3 linked regions of the Oryctolagus cuniculus genome follow. The protein of the gene in region 1 binds, or shares a complex with, the protein of each later gene. Links are inferred from orthologs where the notes say so. Each region holds a gene or a part of one and is shown on either strand. Other genes may lie near its edges.

Region 1 (7,524 bases):
ATAGCCTAAAGAATTTTTTAACTGAACTCTTCTAGGATCACGTCAAAATTATAAAATTAAATTCCACTGTAAAATTAAAAATAATCTAAATTCTGTAAGGACTGGATATGCATGTGCTCACACGCCCACAGAAGAGCCTGGAAGGACACACAATCAACAGTTAACAGTTCAAGGGCTTAGAAGCTGCAATACAGCTAGTAGTATGGTTGAAGCAGGAGACTTACTTCTAACTTCAAACACTTCTGCAGTCTTTGAATTTTCCTATAAGCATGGGTTACTTCTGTGATGTATGAAAAAGAAAAAAGTAAATAAAGTAATACTCATTCTTCTTACTGAACAGAGATATGCATTTCAACTCTTCTATTCCTCTTAACGTTATCACCCTCTCTGTCTAAAAACACTGATCATCTTGAATTCGTCCACAGGCTTTGCAATCTCAACCCAAGACCTTCTGGACCCCCTTCCCTCTTTTTACTACGGTTTCAGTATATTTTTCTCTCTTTATTCCTACTACCACTCACTATTCAATACAGTGTCAAGTTCTGTCCACTGGAATCTCTCTTGAACCCCAGTGCCAGCAATATTTTCTTGAAATACCACTGTCATCACACTATTTATTTTTCTACTTAGGAACATACACTGTTTCCTACCACATGTTTCCATTCTCCATCTATATTTTTAAGTCCCTCCAGAACCTGATTTCACTCTGCTGAACACCTTTCAAATAAACTAGCTACATATGTCAAGCTGGTCGCCTTATTGGCATTTTCTTCATCCTTAATCTTATTTGGTCACCACAGTTTATGCTATCCTCAAACCCGGAATTATTCTCTACCTTCATACAACCACACTTCACAGCTTAACTCAAGCATCATCTTTGCTGTAAAGCAATCTACCATGGAATCCACAGCTCATAACCATCTCTCCTTTATCTATCCCTTCTGCATTTACTCCCTATACCGTGCAATAATTATGTTACAGCACTAGTCTTAAAGAATCGTTCTGAGAGATTCAGCACTTGCTTTCAGCAATGCACACATATTTTTCACATAATACAACTCATACAGAAACATCTGCCCCTAAATGCTTAGAGGATTTTCATCTAAGGGAAATTTTAAAATTCCTTATTTGTTGAATTAATAGTAACTCCCAATACATGCTTTATCTTGAGAAAAAAATAATTTTTAAGGAATAAAAGCCATTGGTTGTTTTTTGCTGATACTTTGATACTCTTAATTTTGTTCAGTAATTCTAAATCTGTAACACCTAGTACAGGTCTTAGTGCATAAGTGGTGCTCAAAAGACAAAAAAGATAGCATACTGGTAACATGAGGTTACAGAATCTGATTTTAAAGTCAGAATGGTATAGAGAAAAAAAATCTAAAGATGTCTAATAAGTATACCAAAATTAGCATGGGAGACCAGCAGGAGGCACCCGGCTCCTGGCTTCGGACCGGCACAGCGCCAGCCGTGGCGACCGTTGCGGGAGTGAACCAACAGAAAGAAGACCTTTCTCTCTGTCGCTCTCTCACTGTCTATAACTCTCTCTCTGTCTCTCTCTCTCACTGTCTAACTCTGCCTGAAAAACAAAACAAACAAAAAAACAGCAAACCACAACGGGAATAATGGCCCTGAAAACTGCATTCTCACTGAAACCAAGAAAATTAACTATAGAAATCAGGTAATTAGAAACAAAGTTCACATTAAAGCATTACAATTATCCCTTGATGACTTTGGAATACCCAGTACCATGGAATGCCAGCATATATTCTGGTTCTGTGTATAAGGCTGAAAAGGTAACTATGTATTCAAGGGCTATTTTAAGTACCTAGCCATATTCTTAGGGAACTAGTAGCAAAAACATAACCTGGACTGGGCATAAAAGTAGCAGTATATGCAGGGATGATGTCTGGGGACCAGGGATAAGAAGCAAAAGCCAGGAGTATTCTGTTGGTGGTACACTGTCAAGATCATAACGAATGCCGTTACTTTGCAGTTCCAAATTTAGAAGTATTAGTGAAATCAGGCATTCAAAAAAATAGACATTTTGGGGACTCAAAAAGTGAAGACAATAAAGAACTACTATGGTAGCAGATTATCAGCTCATTTATTCAACAACTGTTTCCTGGGTGCCTATTATATTGTGGCCCCAGACAAGTTTACAGAATACAAATATAACCCATTTGTGTCCAGGAGAGCCTGAAGAGACAGAAGCAGTTTACAAAACAAGGTGATAAACAGCATAACAGAAATATGCACAGAATTATGAGAGCAGATAACCTGAGTTCCCTAGAGCAATGGTAAGTGAATCTCAGGATGTAAGCAGAACTACTGGAAGAGAAGGGGCCCAAGGACACTCCAGGAAGCAGCATGCATACAGGAAAGGATGGCTTAAAATGTTCTGGCAGGTAGCTCAGCAGATTAGTAAGGCAGGGTGGCAGCAGATAAGAAAGATGGTAGCTCACAGAGGCAACTGTGTGCTGTTAATAGGTGTTTTTTTTTTGGGGGGGGGGGTTTGCCTGTAAACAATGAATACAACTGAAATATTTTTAAGAATGACAGGAGAACTGCATTATGGACAGATTATTTTGGCAGCATGATGGAGCTGGGAATAGAATTTGGGTCCTAAGAAGTCTAGTGTATGTGTGGGTCTGTGTTTCAGTCTATGAACCTCTTTGCAAAACCGAATATCCTACGAAATACTTCATCCAGTTCTCCAGTCTGAAAAATCAACCTGAAATCTAAATGAGTGGTAGCCCCCCCCTCCCTGACACACACACAAGATGATGCGTGCCTTCTATTTAAACATTCCAAATTATTAAACAGCACCAGCAATAGATACAACCAGACACTCACTCAGAAACCAAAACCTCAGACCACCTGCAAGAATCTTGTCAACTGCCTCTGATCCCTCCACCACACTTGAGAAAACTATGCAAGAGGAAGTCAGTGCTTAAGTGAGATGGAAGCGAAAGTTAATCGAAATTGACAGTCGGCCTCGGGGAAAATCTAAGTGGAGATGCTGTCTCTGAAACGAAGATACGGGAAAAAAAAAAAAAGAGGCAATGTCCCTAACGGAGCAGAGCTGTCAACGAGTCTGTAGTTAGGAGCTCGAGAATGGCCAGTCTTGTAAGAAACGGCCGGTAGACGGAGCGCCTGTGACAACTAGTTGTAGTAGTTTGCGGCAAGGGAGGAAAAGGACCTGGGCAGAAGAGGGTGTAGGGCATTCTGGGGATGGGTGTACCCGCAGCAAACACGAGACAATGAGAAATACCGAGGCACCTTTCAGAGAGGGGAGAGGTAAGAGGGTGCGGGAGCCGGGAGCGGAGACTGGGCTCCGGGCTGGTGGCGGGAAGTTAGCGGATGGGAAAGAGGCACCAGGGGATGACTAGAGTTTCCAGCGGCAGTGGAACCCCAGGGCTGTTGGAAGCCTAGACGATAGCTGATCTCGGGGCGGGGTGCAGAACGCAAAGCCCGGGGATGCGGAGAGAGGAACGGGGAGACTGAGGTGTCACTCGTGACTTACCGGGGCAGCCCTCCCTCACCCAGCCCGGTACTCACAGAGCTCAGAGTACCGATGGCAGCCCCGGCCCAGCTGCTGCAGATAGCGCTGCAGCACGTCCGTGAGGAGGTGGCAGGCGCTGAGCTGCACCGAGTCCCAGCCCAGCGCCTGGCAGATCTGCGCCACCGAGACCCTCAACAACGACCTGGAGTAACTCTCGCACATCCCGGTGTGTGGACGCCACCGCAGCCCTTGCTGCCACTTCTCTCCAGCCCCGCCGCCTGACCTTAGCAGAGTTCTCGATTCATCCTTTAGGGCCCCCGCGGCGGGGAAAGCGTCCCCCAGACCCCGGGCAACCACCTCAAAACCCCAGCAGCAAGGAGCGCGCCAGCCTGAGAGCCGCCATTTTGGACTCGCTCCGCCTCCCGCTGGACGGCCGCCGGGGAGAGGCAGCATGAGTCAAATACCGATAGCGCCGATGAGAAAGCTCCGCCCTGTAGGGGGAGCAAAGCGAGGGTCTCGATATCGATTCTCGGGTCTGAATGTCGACCGGAAACTGGCGATGCGAGGCGCAGGTGGGAGATGTATTCTGGGGCGGCAGGTGGCAGGGTTCCTGGGTTGGGGGGCTTTCACCTGGGGGAGAAGGAAGAGGAAGTCGTTAGCGTTTTAGGGGTAGAAGGGTTAACATTAGTACAGAGTTATAAGTTTGGGGAAGAGGAACTTGCTGCTCAAAACGCGGATCTGATCCTGTCTTGCCTGTGCTTTTTGGCATGCTAGCTGCCGTATACGTTAAATGAAGTCCAAGCTGTTCTGCATGTCATTCAAAGCCCCTAATACTAGGGCTGCCAAATTACTGGGGGCTCCAAAGAACTCACTAGCCGGGATCAATTAATATTGTCATACGGTTTTTTTTTTTTTTTAAATCGAAATCCACGCCCACAGTTCTCATTTCATACTAACTCCAGCCCTGCTTCCAATCATGCTTAAAAAAAAAAAAAAGCCAGGTGGGCTGTTCATGGTGGGGGTGGGGAGCGGTGGGGTGGACATTGCCAGCGACAGTGACCTGTCCAGGGAATGGGGTATTCAGTTGCCTACAGAGGCCTTAAGTAAGCGACACGAGTGGAGTACCCTGAGAACCGTTGTCTGCTCCAAAGCCTTCTGCCACTTTCAGGCAAACATTGTTGGATCTTTTCAAGATGCCAGAGATTAGGGTGTTCTGAAATGTATCTTGATTTTTAAATATTGGAAACACAATTTAAAAGTATTTGTTTGGAAGCAAAACTCATCCCTCTGTTAAGCTGCGCACAGCACATGGGTAGCCAGGTTGGAATGGCTGACCTACTCAGTTTGTTAGGCATGCACTGTGTGTTTACCACATCCGTTTATGAGGCAAGCGCAATAAACTGAGTTTCTGAGTAGCTTTGTATTCCTTCTATAGGGACTATTCCAAAACCTTGAACATAGTGCTCAGTTTTTAAAAAAAATTTTTGAAAACCCAATTGATGTGAAAATATGATGCATCAGCAAAATGACAATCTGCAGAGAAGGAGCAAGACGCTAGGTGAAAGATGTCTATGGTGTTTACCAACGCTTTTGTCTCCAAGACTATCAGGAACCTTTTTGATACTTACATCAATGGGAACTTGTCAATTTTAGCCTTACCTGACCGTTTTGTTGCACGTTCATAATATTCAGCAGTTCCTTAATTTATGAACTCTCTGGAACCTTGGATTTCACAAATAGTTTCCACACCCATTCTGGGTGTTCCTTTTCTTCATTCACCTGTGCCTAGGGATGTGGGGATTGGGTGGGGGAAACTGGCAATGCGAGGCGCAGGTGAGAGATGTATTCTGGGGCAGAACATTTTGGAACATTTCAAATCTACAAAAAAGTTGAAACAGAAAAGTTTAAATACAGGTATACACTTTCATCTTCATTGACCCATTGTTAACTTTTTGCCATATTTATTATGTCTTTGGCTGTATGGATACACACACACTTTTTTTCTTTCAGAAGTTTGAAACTAAGTTGCAAACTTCATGACACTTAACCTGCAATACTTTGTGTGTGTGTGTGTGTGTGTGTGTGTGTTCCCAATAGGAGAACATTCCTCATAACCATATGTATGACTATATGTTACAGGTTTGGTAACCAGGGAAGCCAACTGTAAGATGGAGATGAGTTTGCAGAAGTTTTATCTAGAAGTTCTTCTGAGATACCTTCTGTGGAAGGGAGGGTACAGAGGCAGGACTGCAAGGTGCTGTCAGGGTAAACCTCAGCCAGTCCCATAGAGAGTGCTGAGGGGGGGATACCCTTCAGAGTTACCTTAACTTGGGACTTGGAGGCTGGTCCTTGTATTCCTATGTTGACAGGTCACTGTGGCATGACTTCAGTCCTGGGGGAGGGGGCTCTGAGCAGTGCATGACAACTCTCAGGCGCTCCACCCATTGTTCCCTTGAATCAATTTCTTGGTGTCAGTTCAAGAAGTAGCTCCTCCATGCTTCAGGAGGGGCCTCTTCTGTGTCAAAAGAGGAAGATCAAGAGACTAATTACAGGGCCGGCGCCGTGGCTCAATAGGCTAATCCTCCACCTTGCGGCGCCGGCACACCGGGTTCTAGTCCCGGTTGGGGCGCCGGATTCTGTCCCGGTTGCCCCTCTTCCAGGCCAGCTCTCTGCTATGGCCAGGGAGTGCAGTGGAGGATGGCCCAGGTGCTTGGGCCCTGCACCCCATGGGAGACCAGGAAAAGCACCTGGCTCCTGGCTCCTGCCAGGATCAGCGCGGTGCGCCGGCTGCAGCGGCGGCCATTGGAGGGTGAACCAACGGCAAAAGGAAGACCTTTCTCTCTCTGTCTCTCTCTCTCACTGTCCACTCTGCCTGTCAAAAAAAAAAAAAAAAAAAAGACTAATTACAACCCCTACTTCTGCAGCCTGGCCTCAGTTGGTACTCCTCGTCTTCCTCCTTGACTGCCCATTGGATGTTTCTCTCACCCGTCTTCTGGTGGAGTGACCCAGACCCTCCTACGCAGTGGTTCTGAGCCCCTAATTTCCATGTCCTTTTCAGACTGTGGCCGCTGAACTAGCCTATGGACCATTAAAATCGGGCATGAGGGTACCAGAACAGAGCACCTAGGTGCTGGGCAGTCCTTGATTCCTCACTGTAATGGTAGCCTGACATTCTCCTGTTAATCAGGGTTCACTGCTCCTGCCTGTGAGGGAACTCCCCACTTTGCTGCTGTCTCCTGGCCAAAATGTCCAAGGATGGCTGATACTTTAGCAGGACCCCAGGATGTGTTCCTGATGAAAGAAGTCCCCCCTTTTAGAAATTGGACCTACATCTGAAGAACCCAGTTTTAGGTACGGAAAGAGCAATTCCACACCCCCTCCTCGGGGGTGGGGGGTCACTGAAAGTAATAGTAAGTGGAGGAACTGGCCTCTACCCCGTATCATCTGCCTGTTGGGAACCCAGCCTCATGGAAAGGTCGTTGACTTAAAAGGCGCACAGCATTGTGGGGGATTGCAGCCCTGGATACCATGCACCAGTGCTTCACATGCTATTCATTGCCTGTGAGCTGGTGCTTTAGCTGTGCCCACAATAAGGTCTTTCTGTTGCTCTGCCAGGCTGACACCTTCTGTGTGGTATGGCATGTTTTAGGACTAGTGGATTTCATGGCATTGTGCCTGCTTCCCCACCTGCTCTGTAGTAAAATAGGTTCCTTATACTGATGCAGTATGATATGGGACATCAGTGGATCCAACATCGTAAGCAGGAAAGACAAATCCATATCTAGAATATGTGTCCATTTCTTATCAATACAAATAGCTTTCTAGGATCACTTGCGAGCAACCTGTTCTTGGAGAGTCCTACAGAGTTTGCCTAGGATACCATAACAAAATACTTAGTCAGAATTTATTTTCATGCCATTGTAGAAGATGTCCAAGATCAAGGTGATAACAGTTTGGTTTCTCCAAAGGCCTCTCTGATTCATTTGCATCTGACTACCTTCTTCACATGTGTGCATAAC
Region 2 (7,600 bases), on another chromosome or scaffold:
GTAATGGCTGGAGCTGGGCCTATCCAAAGCCAGGAGCCAGGAGCTTCTTTCTGGTCTCCCACATAGGTGTAGGGACCAAAGCACTTGGGCCATCTTCAGCTGCTTCCCCAGGCCATAGCAGAGAGCTGGCTGGATCGGAAGTGGAGCAGCTGGGACATGAACTGGGGCCCATATGGGTTGCTGGTGCCGCAGGTGGAAGCTTAGCCTACTATGCCACAGCACTGGCCTCTTGAACCTTCACTACTAACTAAGGAAACTAAAACTAAATTACAACAAGGTAATATTTTTTTTTAATTTAAGTAACTATTAAAAGGAACAGTATTAGACTATGAAGACAAATTCATACAATCTGGCAGAGTATGAACTGGAACACCTTTTCGAGTGCAGTCTGGAAACATATGAAAAGCCTTTGGAGGGGGGCAGTGCTGTGGTGTAAGGAGCTAAGCTGCCGCCTGAAATGCTGGTATCCTATATAGGTGCTGGTAGGAGTCCTGTCTGCTCTACTTCTGATCCAGCTCTCTGCTCTGGCCTGAGAAAGCAGTGGAAGATGGCCCAAGTCCTTGGGCTCCTATATCCATGTGGGAAACCTGCAAGAAGCTTCTGGCTCCAGGTTAGGTCTGGCCCAGCCCTGCCTGTTGGGACCTTTTGGGGAGAGAATCAGCAGATGGACAGTCTATCTGTAAAAGAAAAAGAAAAAGAAAAAGAAAAGCCTTTGAAAATGTTCATATTGTTTGAACCAGCAATTATACTTCTAGGAGTTTATTGTAGGAAGTAATGGACAAATATGCAAACATGTGTCCAAGGACACCTCAAAATGTTGTAAAAGGAAAAGACTCAACCCGCATAGTTACAGGATTGGTTACATTCCAGCTGAGCCACATAATGGGACAAATGGCAGCTATTAAAAATGAAGATTCATGGGTGTATCTGCTGATAGGAAAATATTTAGCTGTATACACCAACCACTGTTGAAAATCTGAAAAAGTATATGCCCAATTTATTGTACCCAAACATATATACTTAGAGTAAATGCTGCGATAGCATTAATTTTTTCTATATTTATAATGAGCTAACACCACTTTTATAATCAGAAAATATAATAAAGCTATTTCCATTTTCACAAAAATTATGTCCTAGAGGTAGAACTGTTGATATGAGAAATGCCATATATAATAGGAAAAGCAGGTTATGAAATAGGACTTTTATTTTTAAAAAAGATTTATTTATTTATTTGAAAGGCAGAGAGATCTTCCATTTACTGGTTCACTCCCCAAATGGCCACAAGAGCCAGGTCTGGGCCAGGTGGAAGCCAGGCACCAAGAACTCCTTCCTGCTCTCCCACATGAGTGGCAGCGAGTCCAAGTACTCGGGGCATCTGCTGCCTTCCATTAGCAGGAGCTGGATGGGAGTGGAGCAGCCAGGACCCAAACTGACACTGCAGAATGGGATGCCAGAGTTGCAAGCAGCAGCTTAGGCCACTGTGTCACAATGCTGGCTCCAGTATTTGACATTTTGCAAAACAAAACAAAAACCTTGTAAAAACTTATTAATTTTATAAGTTATATGTGTAGAGAAAACACCTGGGATCATATACATTAAAGTATTGGCAGTATATACCTCTTGGTGGCAGGGCGATGAGTTTTCTTTTTACTTATTCACATTTTCTATACTATAACAATGTATTAATTAGTTTATTTCCTCTTGAGTTAGAAATGTAGAGGCCAAGACAAATTTATTAAATTTGTGTGGTCAGGCTGGAGCTCTGAAAAGGGGAAGGAACAAAAAGAGACTTACTGCATCTTCTGAATCTCATCTTCATCCACTTTCTGCTTCTTCTCTTTCTTTTCTTTGGTATCGATTTTCAGTTTTTTGGCTGCAGGAGTAAGTAATGACGCGTCTTCCCTTTCACCTGCTGTTAAATCGGAGACGTCCTGACTTTTGAGCTGGGAAGATGAAAAGAACTCTATTATATATTTGTCCTACTTTCCAGGCTTGGCTAAGGTTAAGACATCATCCTCATAACACAACAGATCCACTTATTGTGTAGTTTTTTTGTCCCAGAACTGACTGTTCCACCCAGTATAAGATACAGTATCTCTCCTCAAGGAAGGTTAGTTAGGCTGTAGAAAGAACCAGTTAAATAATCTAGTTTTCCAGTTTAGCTATGATCACAGCTTCAGTGTCTGTATACAAGGATAAAGAAATGGCCAAGATCATGAAAACCACTCTCTCCATGGACTCTCTCTCCTGCTCATTCCTTACAGGGGATGTCACCAAAGCCCTCTCCAGCCAGCCAGCTCTTCTCCTCTGGATCCAAAGATATTTTTACTATTGACGATTCAATTTAGAAAGATTATTAAAAAGGAGGCCCTGGAGTGAAAATCTGAGATGCTGGTTGGGATGTCCATGTCCCCTATTAGAGTGTCTGAGCTGTTTTGGGCATTTGGAGTGTGAATCAGCAGATAGGCCATTTTTTTTTTCTAATAAGTACATTCTTTGAAAATCAAAAATATGTAGGGGCCAATGCTGTGGCATAGTGGGTTAAGCTGCTGTCTGCAGCACTGGCATCTCATATGAGTGCCAGTTCAAGTCCTGGCTGCTCTACTTCTGATCCAGCTCCCTGCTAATGTGCTTGGGAAAGCAGCAGAAGATGGCCCAAAGATGGCCCAAGTCCTTGGGCCCCTGCACCCATGTGGGAGACCTGGAAGAAGCTACTGACTCCTGGCTTCAGCCTGGCCCAGCTCTAGCCACTGTGACCATTTGGGGGAATGAACAGGCAGATGGAAGCTTGCTCACTCCCCACCCCCCACCCCCAACTTTGTGATTCTGACTTAAAGAATATTAATAAATATTTTACATACTTACATGCATTATGTTACATATTTAAAGCTAATCCACAGTGCTGGCCCCAACATAATCAATTTTTATCGAAAGGCAGAGTTACAGAGAGAGGGAGAGACAGAGTTCTTCCATCTGCTAGTTCACTCCCCAATTGGTCACAACCACCAGGGCTGGGCCAGGTGGAAGCCAGAAGTCCTACATGGGTGCAGGTGCTCAACTTGGGCCACCTTCAGCTGCCTTCCCAGGCACATCAGCAAGGGCCTAGACTGGAAGCGGAGCAGCCAGAACTGAACCAGTGCCCATATGGGATTCTGGGGTTGCAGGTAGCTTAACCTGCTGTGCCACAATGCTGGTCTTTGATTAATTTTTTTTTTTTTTTTTTTTTTTTTTTTTTTTTACAGGCAGAGTGGACAGTGAGAGAGAGAGAGACAGAGAGAAAGGTCTTCCTTTGCCGTTGGTTCACCCTCCAATGGCCGCCGCGGCCGGCGCGCTGCAGCCGGCGCACCGCGCTGATCCGATGGCAGGAGCCAGGTGCTTCTCCTGGTCTCCCATGGGGTGCAGGGCCCAAGGACTTGGGCCATCCTCCACTGCACTCCCTGGCCACAGCAGAGGGCTGGCCTGGAAGAGGGGCAACCGGGACAGAATCTGGCGCCCTGACTGGGACTAGAACCCGGTGTGCCGGCGCCGCAAGGCGGAGGATTAGCCTAGTGAGCCGCGGCGCCGGCCTAATTTTTAAAAATGTTTCAAAAGCATCATAATTCTATCCTCTGCTGGCTCCAAACTTCTATATTGTAGTGAGCTCCTTTAGTGGACCATGCTAATTATTCAATTCCTTTGCGTCCTTGAGACCCATTTTAACTTTTCCTTCTTCAGCTTTGTCAACTGTCTTCTCTTTTTCTAAAAGCTTACCGTGTATGTTTTGGTGACAAGGCTATCCATCTAACGTTCAGTCCATGAGCTCTTCAGTTCCTTCTGCCTCTAAGATCCTAGAAATTCTCTCTTTAGAAAAGGAACCCACAGGACGCTGAGATTCTGGTCGCGATTGTTGCGCGGTTAGGCAACCCTGCTGAGCTATCCTGAGAGCACAGCTGATGGATTTGGTGTTTTTACGTTATAGAAACCCCTGGACATTAGCACGGAGGACACTGCAGCAGCTGGATGAGAATATGACTTCAAAGTCTCCCGTTAACAGATCTGATCAACTCTGCCTCCTGTAAAGACGAAAGCTGTACTTAAACAACAATTAACTAAGAGGACCTATAGTGCGGTGAAAGGCGCGCTGGGAATCCTGGATTTTGGCTCTTGCACTAAGTCTCGGGATGACAGTACCGACTTCATCAATAGGAAAACCAAGAAGCTATTTAAAATTCACTTAGATGTAGCTTTAATCCCGAAAGGCAAGGACTAAACATATTAAAACCTAATGCTCGAGTCTCTGGAACCAAACCAGCACCACAGTTTTGTTGCTCCTCCCACACTCCCCGGACGGCAGATCTAGAGGGAATCGTGGCGAGCTCCGGGTAACACAATCCCGGCGTATGCCTCCAACCTCAGTCACACTTCTCTGCCTACCTCGCCTTCCTCCGCTGCCGCTTCTTTCAAGTCCGCGTCTCCGTCTCCGTCCGCTTCCTCCGGGATCCCGTCCGTGTCCGCAGTCCCCGGGCCCCCAGGAGCAGCAGTCGTCTCGTCTGACTCCCCTGCTTCCCCACCTTTGTCCGCAGGAGACTCGCGGGCATTGTCCATCACAGCTAGAACGGCAAGGGGAGGAGATCGCGGTGCTGTCGGCCGCGGAGCTCCGGACCTCGCGCGGCACAGTGGGCGCTTACTTCCTGTCGTCGCACCGCGATGTCGTCACCACTACTGGTCCTCGGAAGGGCCATGGGGGGCGCGCGGAGCACCTGAGGGCTCCGTTTGAATCCTGGGTGGGTGGTGCTGGAGAGAGAACGCTGAGGGTGCAAAGTCCCCTGTGGATCCGTCCTTGGAGACCAGCACCTGTGAAGAAGTGCAGTTGTGCTTCCTGAAGGGTTTCTTTTTCCTTTCCGTCGTTCTAAGAATGCTTTGTCAGTTAACCTCTTCCTCAAAGTTGGAGGACCTGGGAGAAAACTGCTCCTTTTGTACGCGGCTGTCGCGTAACCTTGGGGTAGCAAACTTTCAGGCAGGGACTCAACCTCCTTTATTTCACCTGGACAGACTGCGGGCCTGACTTTACATTGAATTGCCACCATTTCCCCTCTACGAATATTTCACGAGCACCTTAAAAAAAAAAAGTCCTATTGCTTGAGCAGTGTTTATCCAACCCATTCATTCACTCCACGAGTGTTGACTGCCTGTTTCTGAGTCCGGAGCAGCGCTAGTACAGGGAAAAAACATTTTCTACCGAATTAAATGATTTTTCCAGTTCGCCAGTGCTGAAAATCGGGATAGGTTTCTCAAGCCTGACTTCTGTTACCCACTCAGTCTCATCATGAGGAATCCCTACAGGGTGGGAGGTCTCTCCTTTGAGCGCTTCACTTTAATGAGCCATTTCACGGATTGGGATGGTGAAGGGGCTAGGATATTTCTGCTTTTAAAATGTCCTGCCTTTTTTCATTGAGGCACGCGGAGGGAGGGGCAGGGCGTTTTATTCACCTCTGTATTACCAGGCTCCCGCACCTGTTACATACTGCTTTATGCTTAAAGAACGGACTTGGAAATGTAGGTGCGTATTACCATATTTCTCTCTTTGTTTCCACACCGCCGGGACGAATTACCGTATTTCCTGTCCCGTGAGCTCCCAAAACCTTTGGAAAAGAAGCGCACTTTGGAGGCGTACACAGGTGGGTCCCCTTTGTCCCTTTCCACTTCTTCAATGGGTACCCACATGGCACTGCCCCATTGACCCCCAAGTCCTGTCCTGACACACCAAGGTCCACCTGCACAGGGACGCGGAGCCCCGCCCAGCTAGGTGGGCAAGGGGGCGGGGCATGGGGGCGCGGTGACGCGTGACGCCGGATCCCGGAAGTGACGCGCTCGTGGGGAAAAGGCGGGGGGGGAGGGGGGTGGTGTCCCCGGCCGGTTTAGGGGGTGCGTTGCCCGGAGACGGAAAGTTTGGGAGCCGAGCCGGCTCCACGGTGGCCCCGGGGTGGGGGGTCCTGGGGTGGCGGCCCTGGGGATGGGGAAGGAGCAGGAGCTGCTGGAGGCGGCCCGCACCGGGCACCTCCCGGCCGTGGAGAAGCTGCTGTCCGGGAAGCGGCTCTCCTCAGGCTTCGGGGGTGGCGGCGGCGGCTCCTCTGGGGGCAGTGGCGGCGGCGGCGGCGGCGGCGGCGGCCTCGGCTCTTCCAGCCACCCTCTCTCCAGTCTGCTCAGGTGGGTACGCGCCGGGGCCCGGCAGCCGCCTGGAGACCCCCCCCCCGCCCGCCCGTACGTCTTTTAGGTCCCTGGAGAGGTCGGGCTCCCGAGACCCGGCGGGGTGGGCTCGCGGCGTACTCGGGGAGCGAGGGCAGGCGGCCGGCGGGACAGGAAGCCGGAGGGGGCGCGGGTCCGAGTTGGCGCGGCGCTCCGCTCTCCTTGTCTCTCGGTCCTGACCCGGGTGCGAAGAATGGTGGGAGTGCCCAGGTGGCCGCTCCGCCGCATGGCACAGCCCGGCGTCACCCTCGCCCGCTGTGGGATGCCAGCTGTCGTTGCTTCACAAAAGCCACTTGAGAGCAAATGATCTGTGTGTGTGTATGGGACCTCCCTCACCTCCTGCAGAAGCTCCCACGGCTTGCAGAATGCCGCGGCTCTGCTGGAGGGGATTCCCTTCCCGCAGGAGCCTGCAGCCTTCCGCCAGGCTGTGCAGAACCTGGCTTCTGTTTATATCAGAATTGTCTCTGGATCGGTCACGTTCGGAGAGTTCGTCTTGGAGCCCCTCTCGTGCTTGAGGCTCGAATTGTGGTTCCTTGTAATGAGCCTCCTTGCAGGGTTCTTCTGGGGTCTGTTCATCAAGAAGTGAAAGTTTAGGAAGACTTGGTTGGGAAATGGAGGGGCGCTTTAAAATTTTCTGGGGTCTGTTGTTGGACACTTGAATCCGAAGCTGTGAGGTTCGAGAGGGGAAAATGAGTTCTGTGTCGCTTGGAAGGGGGATTGGAGATGCTTTGTCATTGAGTAAAATATGTTGGTTCAGCAGCACTTTCATAGCCTGTTTTCCTTCCTTGTTCTTTTGAGGTTTTTAAGAAGTGGAAGTTCATTTAGAAATGGCTTCGTTAGCTTCTGTTCCCCATTAATTTATGTTACTTCGATTTGGGTGAGCTTGGACCAAAAAAAGAAGCCCGAGTCAAGTATTTTAAGCACTGAGTACCAACCACGGTCTTCACAGGAAGATTTGGAAAGGCAGTGTAAGACAAGAACCCTTCCCGGGAGTTTCCTTAAGGAAAGAACAAACAAGCAGAGCAGTACCGTTTCCTGCTGTTTTGCCAGCCCTTACAATACTGGCCTATAGTAGATACGGATGATTTATCAAATCATACAAGTGTCAGCTGGAGGACCGCAGATTTCCAAGTCAACTGATGGCGGTACTTACCATAGTTGTTGGTAGTTCAGAGAACACTTTGGGATGGGGAGGAGATCACCTCTTGCAGGAAGAGTGGGACTTAAGATGATTTGGGTAAATGAAGTATAATGGGAGTGTTCCAGGTGGGCACCCCTTCATCGGAGGCAAAGAAGTGAGAAAGTTGGCCTATTGGGTACTTGTGGGGCACTGGGAGAAGAACTTCCTACTGGGACTTTTGAGTAGTTGGGCACG
Region 3 (7,460 bases), on another chromosome or scaffold:
AAATGAAAACCTTCAAGTGGTCTCTCCACAGGAGTCTGTTATACTTCAGCAATGTGGGAAAATACACCCTAAGAGTGTGTTCTCCAGGGGTCATATTGTGGGAAAATACACCCTAAGAGTGTGTTCTCCAGGGGTCATATTATGATCTAAGCATCTGAAGACATTAGAGGTTACATGTTAATGGTAATGGACTACAACAGCTTGAAGTTATTACAACTATTACTGCTGTTAACAATGCACAAAAACTGCGTTTTTAAAAACATAATCGCCACAGTACCAATAATCAAACAGATAAACAACTTTATTTTTTACACTTAAAGGCTGATGAAAAACCACTACTAATCTTATTAAAGAAAATCCAACATTTCAACTGAAAACTATACTTATATATACTTAAATACTATACAGGTTTTCTCAAACACAACTTGAAAACATCAAACATACTTGTTTAATTTCAGTACAATGGATTCAAGACCAAGTACACATGACATGCATCAAGGTTAGATTACAAATTATCATAGTCATCATCATCATCATCGTCATCGTCATCATCATCGTCACGTTTTCTTTTCAATGCATTTGTTTCACTGGCAGTATTCTGTGATGACACCATATTAGTGGTAATAAGAATGTTTTTGGACCCAATTAACGATGGATTAATGAGAACATTCTGAACTGCTGATGTTGCAGGAATTGATGCCTTCACAGCGGGTGACTGTGAAGCAGGCATCTGTACTGTGAACCTCTGTCCTGTGAGGGACATTGGAGTAGCTACTTTAGTAGAAACAGACATGGTCTGTGGAGTTGGGGTGCCTAGTGTGGGAGTACTTGGTCTGCTAGTAACTGACCCAACACTTAACCGCGGAACCGTTATTCTTCCTGCAGAAGTAGACGCCTTTTTCTGCAAAGACTTAAGCCTATAGTTCGGAGCGGTTAAACAGTACCTATCAGGTGGCAATCTAGGACCTGAATATGGTTTGATCAATGGCAAAGGGGTTTGATTTCTTTGCCTTGCAATATCTAATAAAAAATCTCTTGGGGGAGGAGAAGTAAAAGACTGGTCAGCACGACACTGGATTGCCAACCGCACATCGTCTGCATCAACAGTAGCTTTCTTAGCATGGCTCGAATAAATCTTTGCATCATCTAGAATTGTGGTCACATATCGGAATGCAAACTCCAACATCTGATTTATAACTCTTGGCTCATATTCTGTAATCCCCATATCCTTCAGGATTTGTGCCATCATCTGTGCATCTTTCGGCATGCTCTTGGGAGAAGCCATCTTGCCAGACTCCATGATATCCGGTGATCAAACTTTAGATCACTTGAAAAAAATATGTATATTAGATCAAACTGAAAAACTTCAGTAGCAACTTCTAGGAACTTAGTTTTTTAAAATATGCGTTATATCCTTTAAAAAATAAATTTAAATTTTAAAACATGTTAAATATTTTTAATTTCAACAAGACACACTTAAAAGTTTCCTTTACTTACACTTACTGAGTTCCTACCCTGTTAAAAATCATTCTAGAGTATAAAAAGATGAAGACAAAAATAAAGGACTAACTAAAAAACTAGGGGAAAATATGGTTAAATCTGTAAAAACATGCACCGCTTTGAAATAATCTAATACTATAGAACAATCATATTCTACTGCTTGAATTCAAAATTAATCTTTCTAATGTTGTCAATTTACTCACTGTCCTATATATGTGTGGCATCACCCAAACCTCTGTGTTTGTCCAACTCAAAACATTCTCCTTCTGCCTCATATTCAGATCCCAAGTCCCAATTTCTTCATGGAAGCCTTCCTAATTATTTCTACTCACAAGAATTGCTAGCCAATTTGGGGAGAAGGAGGTGGAAATAATCAAAATAAAAAGGACACAGTATTGGACACTTAGTATCTTCTTTTTCTGTAGGCTCCGGATAGAGCACAAATTCCATAATAGGAATCTGTCTCTGCTTTTGTACCCTCTCACAATACCTAACAGTACCAATAATTCCACTAGCCGACTGCAAGAAAAACAAAAACAAAAACAAAAACAAAAACCCAACACTAAAGCATCCCCTTACCTTCTCGAGCTAAATCACCCACATTAACGTATTTCAGTCCTGATCTTGATGCAAGTTCTTTGCCTAGTGTGGTTTTCCCAACCCCTGGAGTACCTGTAAGACAAATCACAGAAAAATGCCTATGAAATACTATTATAGACTTCAACTACTTCCACCCTTTGTAAGGTTCTTAACAACTTTCCTAGTAGGAAAGCAACCAGATGTGAATATACAAAAATAGTAGTAAGCAACCAGATGTGAATATACAAAACCAACTAAACAAAATCTCCCAGGGCAGGTGTCTGTAGAGGTTAGGATGCCCACCTCCCATGTTTGAGTTTAGACTAAGTTCGGTATTTGGCTCTGACTCCTGACTTCAGCTTCCTGCCAATGCAGATCCCAGGAGGCAGAGGACTGCTCAAGTATCCAGGTAGCAGGACTGAGCTGACTTCCTGGTTTCTGGCAGCACAGGCATTTGGGGAGTCCATCAGTGGATGAGAACATGCATGAGTGCTCTCCCGAATTAAAAAAATTTTTCTGCAAAAAAGCTCTGGATGTCAGAATCACGCAATGTTTCTCCATGGGTGGGAATACAAATTCTGACTGCTGCCACCAACGTCAGACTGCCCACAATAAAATCAGCCACCTCAAATCAATTACTGTCATTTATTTGCTTTTATTTTAAAAGATTAAGAAATTGTTCATTGGCCGGCACCGCAGCTCACTAGGTTAATCCTCCGCCTGCGGCACAGGCACTCCGGGGTCTAGTCCCGGTGGGGGCGCCGGATTCTGTCCCAGTTGCTCCTCTTCCAGTCCAGCTCTCTTCTGTGGCCTGGGAGTGCAGTGGAGGATGGCCCAAGTGCTTGGGCCCTGCACCCCATGGGAGACCAGGAGAAGCACCTGGCTCCTGGCTTCGGATCGGCGCAGCGCGCCAGCCGTAACAACCATTTGGGGGGTGAACCAACAGAAGGAAGACCTTTCTCTCTGTTTCTCTCTCTCACTGTCTAACTCTGCCTGTCCAAAAAGAAAAAAAAAAAAAAAAAAAAAAAATTGCTCATGGAACAAACCTTAGTCTGGGAACCACTGTAACTAGTCTTTTGCATACCTTTCCGAAGAAGTCCTATGCATGTGTGTCTATACACAGAAGTAGGTGTAGGTAGCATATCCTATGTGCAAAAACACATGCCACTTGTATTGCCTTTTACATAAATGGTAATACTATGCATTGTTCTATACCTTTCCCCTTTTACGTCTAAAAGAATTATATTCCAAGATAATCAAACGCATAATTTTCAGCTTCTCAATGTTTAATGACACTTTAATGATTACATCTGAGCATTATTAACATGTATAAATCCAATCTCCACATGCAGGACATTTAACCCCTGTCTACTATATTATACCAAGTCTGAACCCTGGACTCAACTTTCATTAAAATATTCACACCAGATTTTTTTTTTACAGCATTAATCAGGACACTAATCCATGCAAATCAGATGCTGCAAAATCTTCATCATAATGAATCTCACAGGCTAAAAACTCACTAGCTGAGGGGCTACTGCGCAGCACCTAGGAACAATCTTTGTGGGCTGCCAAAAATGTCAAGTTTCGTTAAATGTTGAAGGGAAAAAACCTTTTCAGGGTTCAGGGCTGTGGAGTAGGGGCAAAGCCGCTGCCTTCCACTCCAGCACCCTGTACGAGTGCCCGTGGTGTCTGGCTGCTCCACTTCAGTCCGGCTCCCTGCTCAGGGCCGGGGGAAAGCAGTGGCAGACGGCTCAACTGCTTGGGCCCCTGCCACCCGTGCAGGAGACCCGGGTGAAGCTCCTGGCTTTGCCTGGCTCAGCCCCCGCCACTGCGATCCTGCCGGGAGTGAACCAGCGCAGCAGATGCGAGATCTGCGTCTCCTCCCTCCCTCTCCCTGTAACTTTCAAACAAACAAATCTTCAAAAAAAAAAAAAAAAAACACAACTCTTCACAATCTCTTAATACTTCGATACGCTCCATAGATTCCCCCACGAACGGCGCAGGACGCTCTCAACGGACACGTCTCAGGCCTAGAGGCCCAGCGTTCTAGCCGCTTCGCTGGCCACAGCGGGTCAGTGTCCGAGACCCGCAGGGGCTCACGAGCAGCCGGGGGCTCCACAGCGTGCGCTCCCATCACAAAGGGAGGCAGGCGCCTGGACACTACCCCAGCACACGGCCGCAGTGACTGCACGCGCTCCGCCACGCCGCCAGCACCCGCGCCCACCCGCGAAGGCCCACGACGCGAGGCCTCCGCCATGGCCGACACGCTTCCGCACGTTACCTCCGGGAAACCCCAAAGCAACCCGACCAGAGACGCCAAAGCTGGCTTTCCGAGCAGAACACCAGGGTCTCTATTATAAAGATAACGGAGCCTGCCCACACCGGAGCGCCGGGTCCCGGCCGGCTTCCCCGCGCCCCGCGGCCGCCCCCGCCCCGCGCCGCGTCCGCAGGCCCCGGCCACCGTCGCGCCCCGCGGCCCCCGCCCGGCCGCCCGCTGCAGCCCGGCGCTCCCCGCCCGGCGCCCGGAGCCCCCCGCGCGTCCCGTCCCCGCCGCGCGCCCTGACCGGTGAGCAGAATGTTCGGCAGCCGCATAGTCGTCCCGGCGGACGCCCCGAGCGCCTCCTCTGCGCGCGCCCTACGCACCGCGAGGAGGAGCCGGAAGGGGCGGGCAGCGCCAGCGCCGGCGGCCGCGGGGTCCTCGAGGCCGTGCCGGGCGCCCGCTCCCGGCCCAGCTCCGCAGTCCCAGCCGCCGCCAGCGGTTCCCTGGGCTTCTGTGACACGCTTCCGTGGCGTGAATGGAGGCCGGGAGCCAGCTCGCTGCGCGCTCTGAGTCAGGCAGTGCGCTGGATGCCTATGTCGCTCGCGCGCCTGGGGCCCCCGCCCTTCGCGCCGCGTCGCCGAGGCGCCGACGGGTGTGGAAGGACCCCGGGAGGCGGGACCCCCGAGAGGCTCGGTGCCGAGCCCGGGGAGGGTCGGGTGGCCACCCCAACACCGGAGCCGGCCCCGCGCTCCTTGGCTCCTCTCCGCCCACGAGGGAGGGGAATGCGGCTCCCGGAAAGTAAGGCCGTCGCGGTTGTGGCGGTGTTTTCTGTGTGTGTCCTGGACGCGCGAGCCCATCTCTGCCTCCATGCCCTCCCGTCCCGCCTGGGACGAGAGAGACGGGGTTGCGGTGCCCCGGCCTGGAGCGGGGACCGACGAGCTCAGCCTGGCTGCCGGCTGGTTGCAGGATGGCGCTGAACGAATGTCTGAGCTCAGGACCGGCTGTGCAGCGCGTGGGGTGGTGGTGGGTGGGCTCGGGATGGTCCTGAACGTGTCTTCTGCCTCTGACATCTAATTTCAGGAAACGGGCATCGTCGCTGACAGTTACCTGCTTTTCCAAGGAGGTAATTGTCGGTCTCGCTTTCACTGAGCGGCTGCAGTGCTGACTGTCGGCTACATTGAATCGATTTTTTTTTTTTTTTTTTTTTTTTTTTTGCTACTGTGCATTGCTGATAGCGGTCTACTCTCAGAGGTGAATGACTGCCAGTGTGTGGAAGTGTGCCTCCTCAGATAGTCCAGTACACCTTCCCAGGGTACAGTTTGTTGGCCTTGAAAATCGTTCCTCCTGGCGGCCCTAAAATGGTTGAATTCACTGCTTTCCATCAGTATTGACGAATCACGCAAATCGGAAAACAGTGATGCCAAGACGTTTTCTGATGGCGTGCTCAAAGGAAGTTCTAGAAAAACTGACAGTGAGATTCAACTGTTTTATTCAAAGTAACTGATATGTCTGAATTCATTGTATCTTGCCTTTTTTTGAAACTTTAGAAATGAAGATGTAATAGCTTGCAACGGATTGGAGTAAAGGAATAGTTTAATTTTTGGTGTTAAAAACTTCTCAGAATTGCCTGATTTTTCTTTTTGAGAGAAGGTCAGCACCCAAATATGTTGCTGTGTTTTCTCATAAAAAACATCAGATAGATTCCTCTAACTTGTTGTAACGTTCTGATTTTTCTCCTGTTTACCATGCTTGCTTTCACTAGTTCTTGAGCCTTGATGTTGTTATGTTGTTGGTTATATCGACTTAACTGTGCTTACAGTTCTTGACTTGAAGTGAGTTTTTCCTATTTCCTCTAGGTGATTTATACTTTGTTGTGCTACAGATTGTGTACTACGCATGGGAACTATTAAGATTTATGATGTCAAACACTTTTCTTAGACCAAAGGTGTCTTCCACAAAGGTATGTCACACTAAAATGGCCATGTGATAGTTACCTAAATGAATTAGGTGTTTTTACACATGCTCTTAATGACTGACTGCTATCAGAATAATGGTGCCCATTTTTTTTTGAAATTAGTGATCTAAACAAGTCTGTTAATAAGTTCTGGAACAACTGAACCTAAAAGCACAATTTTAATTTTGAAAAAGTGTTTGCAAGCCCAGTCACAAAGAAAAGGCTAAAAACTCTCGAATGAAAGAGCATAGAAAGGCCGGCGCCGCGGCTCACTAGGCTAATCCTCTGCTGTGGCGCCGGCACACCGGGTTCTAGTCCCGGTCGGGGCGCCGGATTCTGTCCCGGTTGCTCCTCTTCCAGGCCAGCTCTCTGCTGTGGCCAGGGAGTGCAGTGGAGGATGGCCCAAGTGCTTGGGCCCTGCACCCCATGGGAGACCAGGAAAAGCACCTGGCTCCTGGCTCCTGCCATCGGATCAGCGCGGTGCGCCGGCCGCGGCGGCCATTGGAGGGTGAACCAACGGCAAAAGGAAGACCTTTCTCTCTCTCTCACTGTCCACTCTGCCTGTCTCAAAAAAAAAAAAAAAAAGAAGAAGAAGAAGAAAGAGACACACGAATGGTGGTTGGTGATTCAGCTTAACCCCAGGCTGTACTTCGTTGCCCAGTGCGTGTCAGTTCTCAGAAAGATAGGGTGTGGGAGGGCATGGGGTCAGACAGTATCAATGTACCTGCATGGTAGCTGTTTTTCCTTGGTAGTATCTCTCATTTTCACTGATCTTAAGTAAATTATCAATTTCGCTGATTCTTTTTTCCAGTAGATTGGAATTCACATTTATGTAAAAAATACAACTATAAAGTGGGTAAGTAATGGGCAAATCAGAGTTGCTACCAATGGGTCTACTAAGACATTCTCTTTGAGTACTCTTGAATACGGGAGAGGTGCCACGATTATAATACCAACGACCTTTTAATCAGAGGAAAATGAATCAGGTAGCCTTGACTGTGAAACTCTCCCAGTGACCCACTGCTGATGATATTCCATCCCTCTGTCTGAAGAGTGAAGTGTGACTTAGCATTTGTAAAATACTTAAAATAAACTACTTAAAAATCCCAAATTGCCTCCTCAGAGCCTACTTTGACCCTGACTTCTGGCTCTTTTTTTCCCAGA

What was found. The genes of interacting proteins can lie anywhere in the genome.
Region 2: TAF3 (region 1) and TAF11 share a complex: the UniProt entries of both Homo sapiens proteins name them as parts of the TFIID basal transcription factor complex. The link is inferred for Oryctolagus cuniculus from reciprocal best matches to the Homo sapiens genes TAF3 and TAF11.
Region 3: TAF3 (region 1) and TAF9 share a complex: the UniProt entries of both Homo sapiens proteins name them as parts of the TFIID basal transcription factor complex. The link is inferred for Oryctolagus cuniculus from reciprocal best matches to the Homo sapiens genes TAF3 and TAF9.

Annotation. Positions count from the first base shown.
Region 1 is NC_091444.1:75,463,857-75,471,380, forward strand, and holds the start of TAF3 (transcription initiation factor TFIID subunit 3), read right to left. Parts: upstream 3,959-7,524; coding exon 3,562-3,958; intron 3,301-3,561; exon of another isoform or gene 3,162-3,300; intron 281-3,161; exon of another isoform or gene 225-280; intron 1-224. UniProt on the Homo sapiens protein: The TFIID basal transcription factor complex plays a major role in the initiation of RNA polymerase II (Pol II)-dependent transcription.
Region 2 is NC_091436.1:134,548,076-134,555,675, reverse strand, and holds the start of TAF11 (transcription initiation factor TFIID subunit 11), read right to left. Parts: upstream 4,694-7,600; 5' UTR 4,585-4,693; coding exon 4,414-4,584; intron 1,944-4,413; coding exon 1,795-1,943; intron 1-1,794. Other genes in the region: ANKS1A (ankyrin repeat and SAM domain-containing protein 1A), read left to right, coding at 5,993-6,186. UniProt on the Homo sapiens protein: The TFIID basal transcription factor complex plays a major role in the initiation of RNA polymerase II (Pol II)-dependent transcription.
Region 3 is NC_091445.1:90,325,051-90,332,510, forward strand, and holds TAF9 (transcription initiation factor TFIID subunit 9), read right to left. Parts: upstream 4,694-7,460; 5' UTR 4,647-4,693; exon of another isoform or gene 4,574-4,646; intron 4,356-4,573; exon of another isoform or gene 4,340-4,355; coding exon of another isoform or gene 4,048-4,339; intron 2,173-4,047; coding exon of another isoform or gene 2,080-2,172; intron 1,328-2,079; 5' UTR 1,301-1,327; coding exon 506-1,300; 3' UTR 284-505; downstream 1-283. Other genes in the region: AK6 (adenylate kinase isoenzyme 6), read right to left, coding at 2,080-2,172, 4,048-4,339; cell cycle checkpoint protein RAD17, read left to right, coding at 4,930-5,140, 6,199-6,302. UniProt on the Homo sapiens protein: The TFIID basal transcription factor complex plays a major role in the initiation of RNA polymerase II (Pol II)-dependent transcription.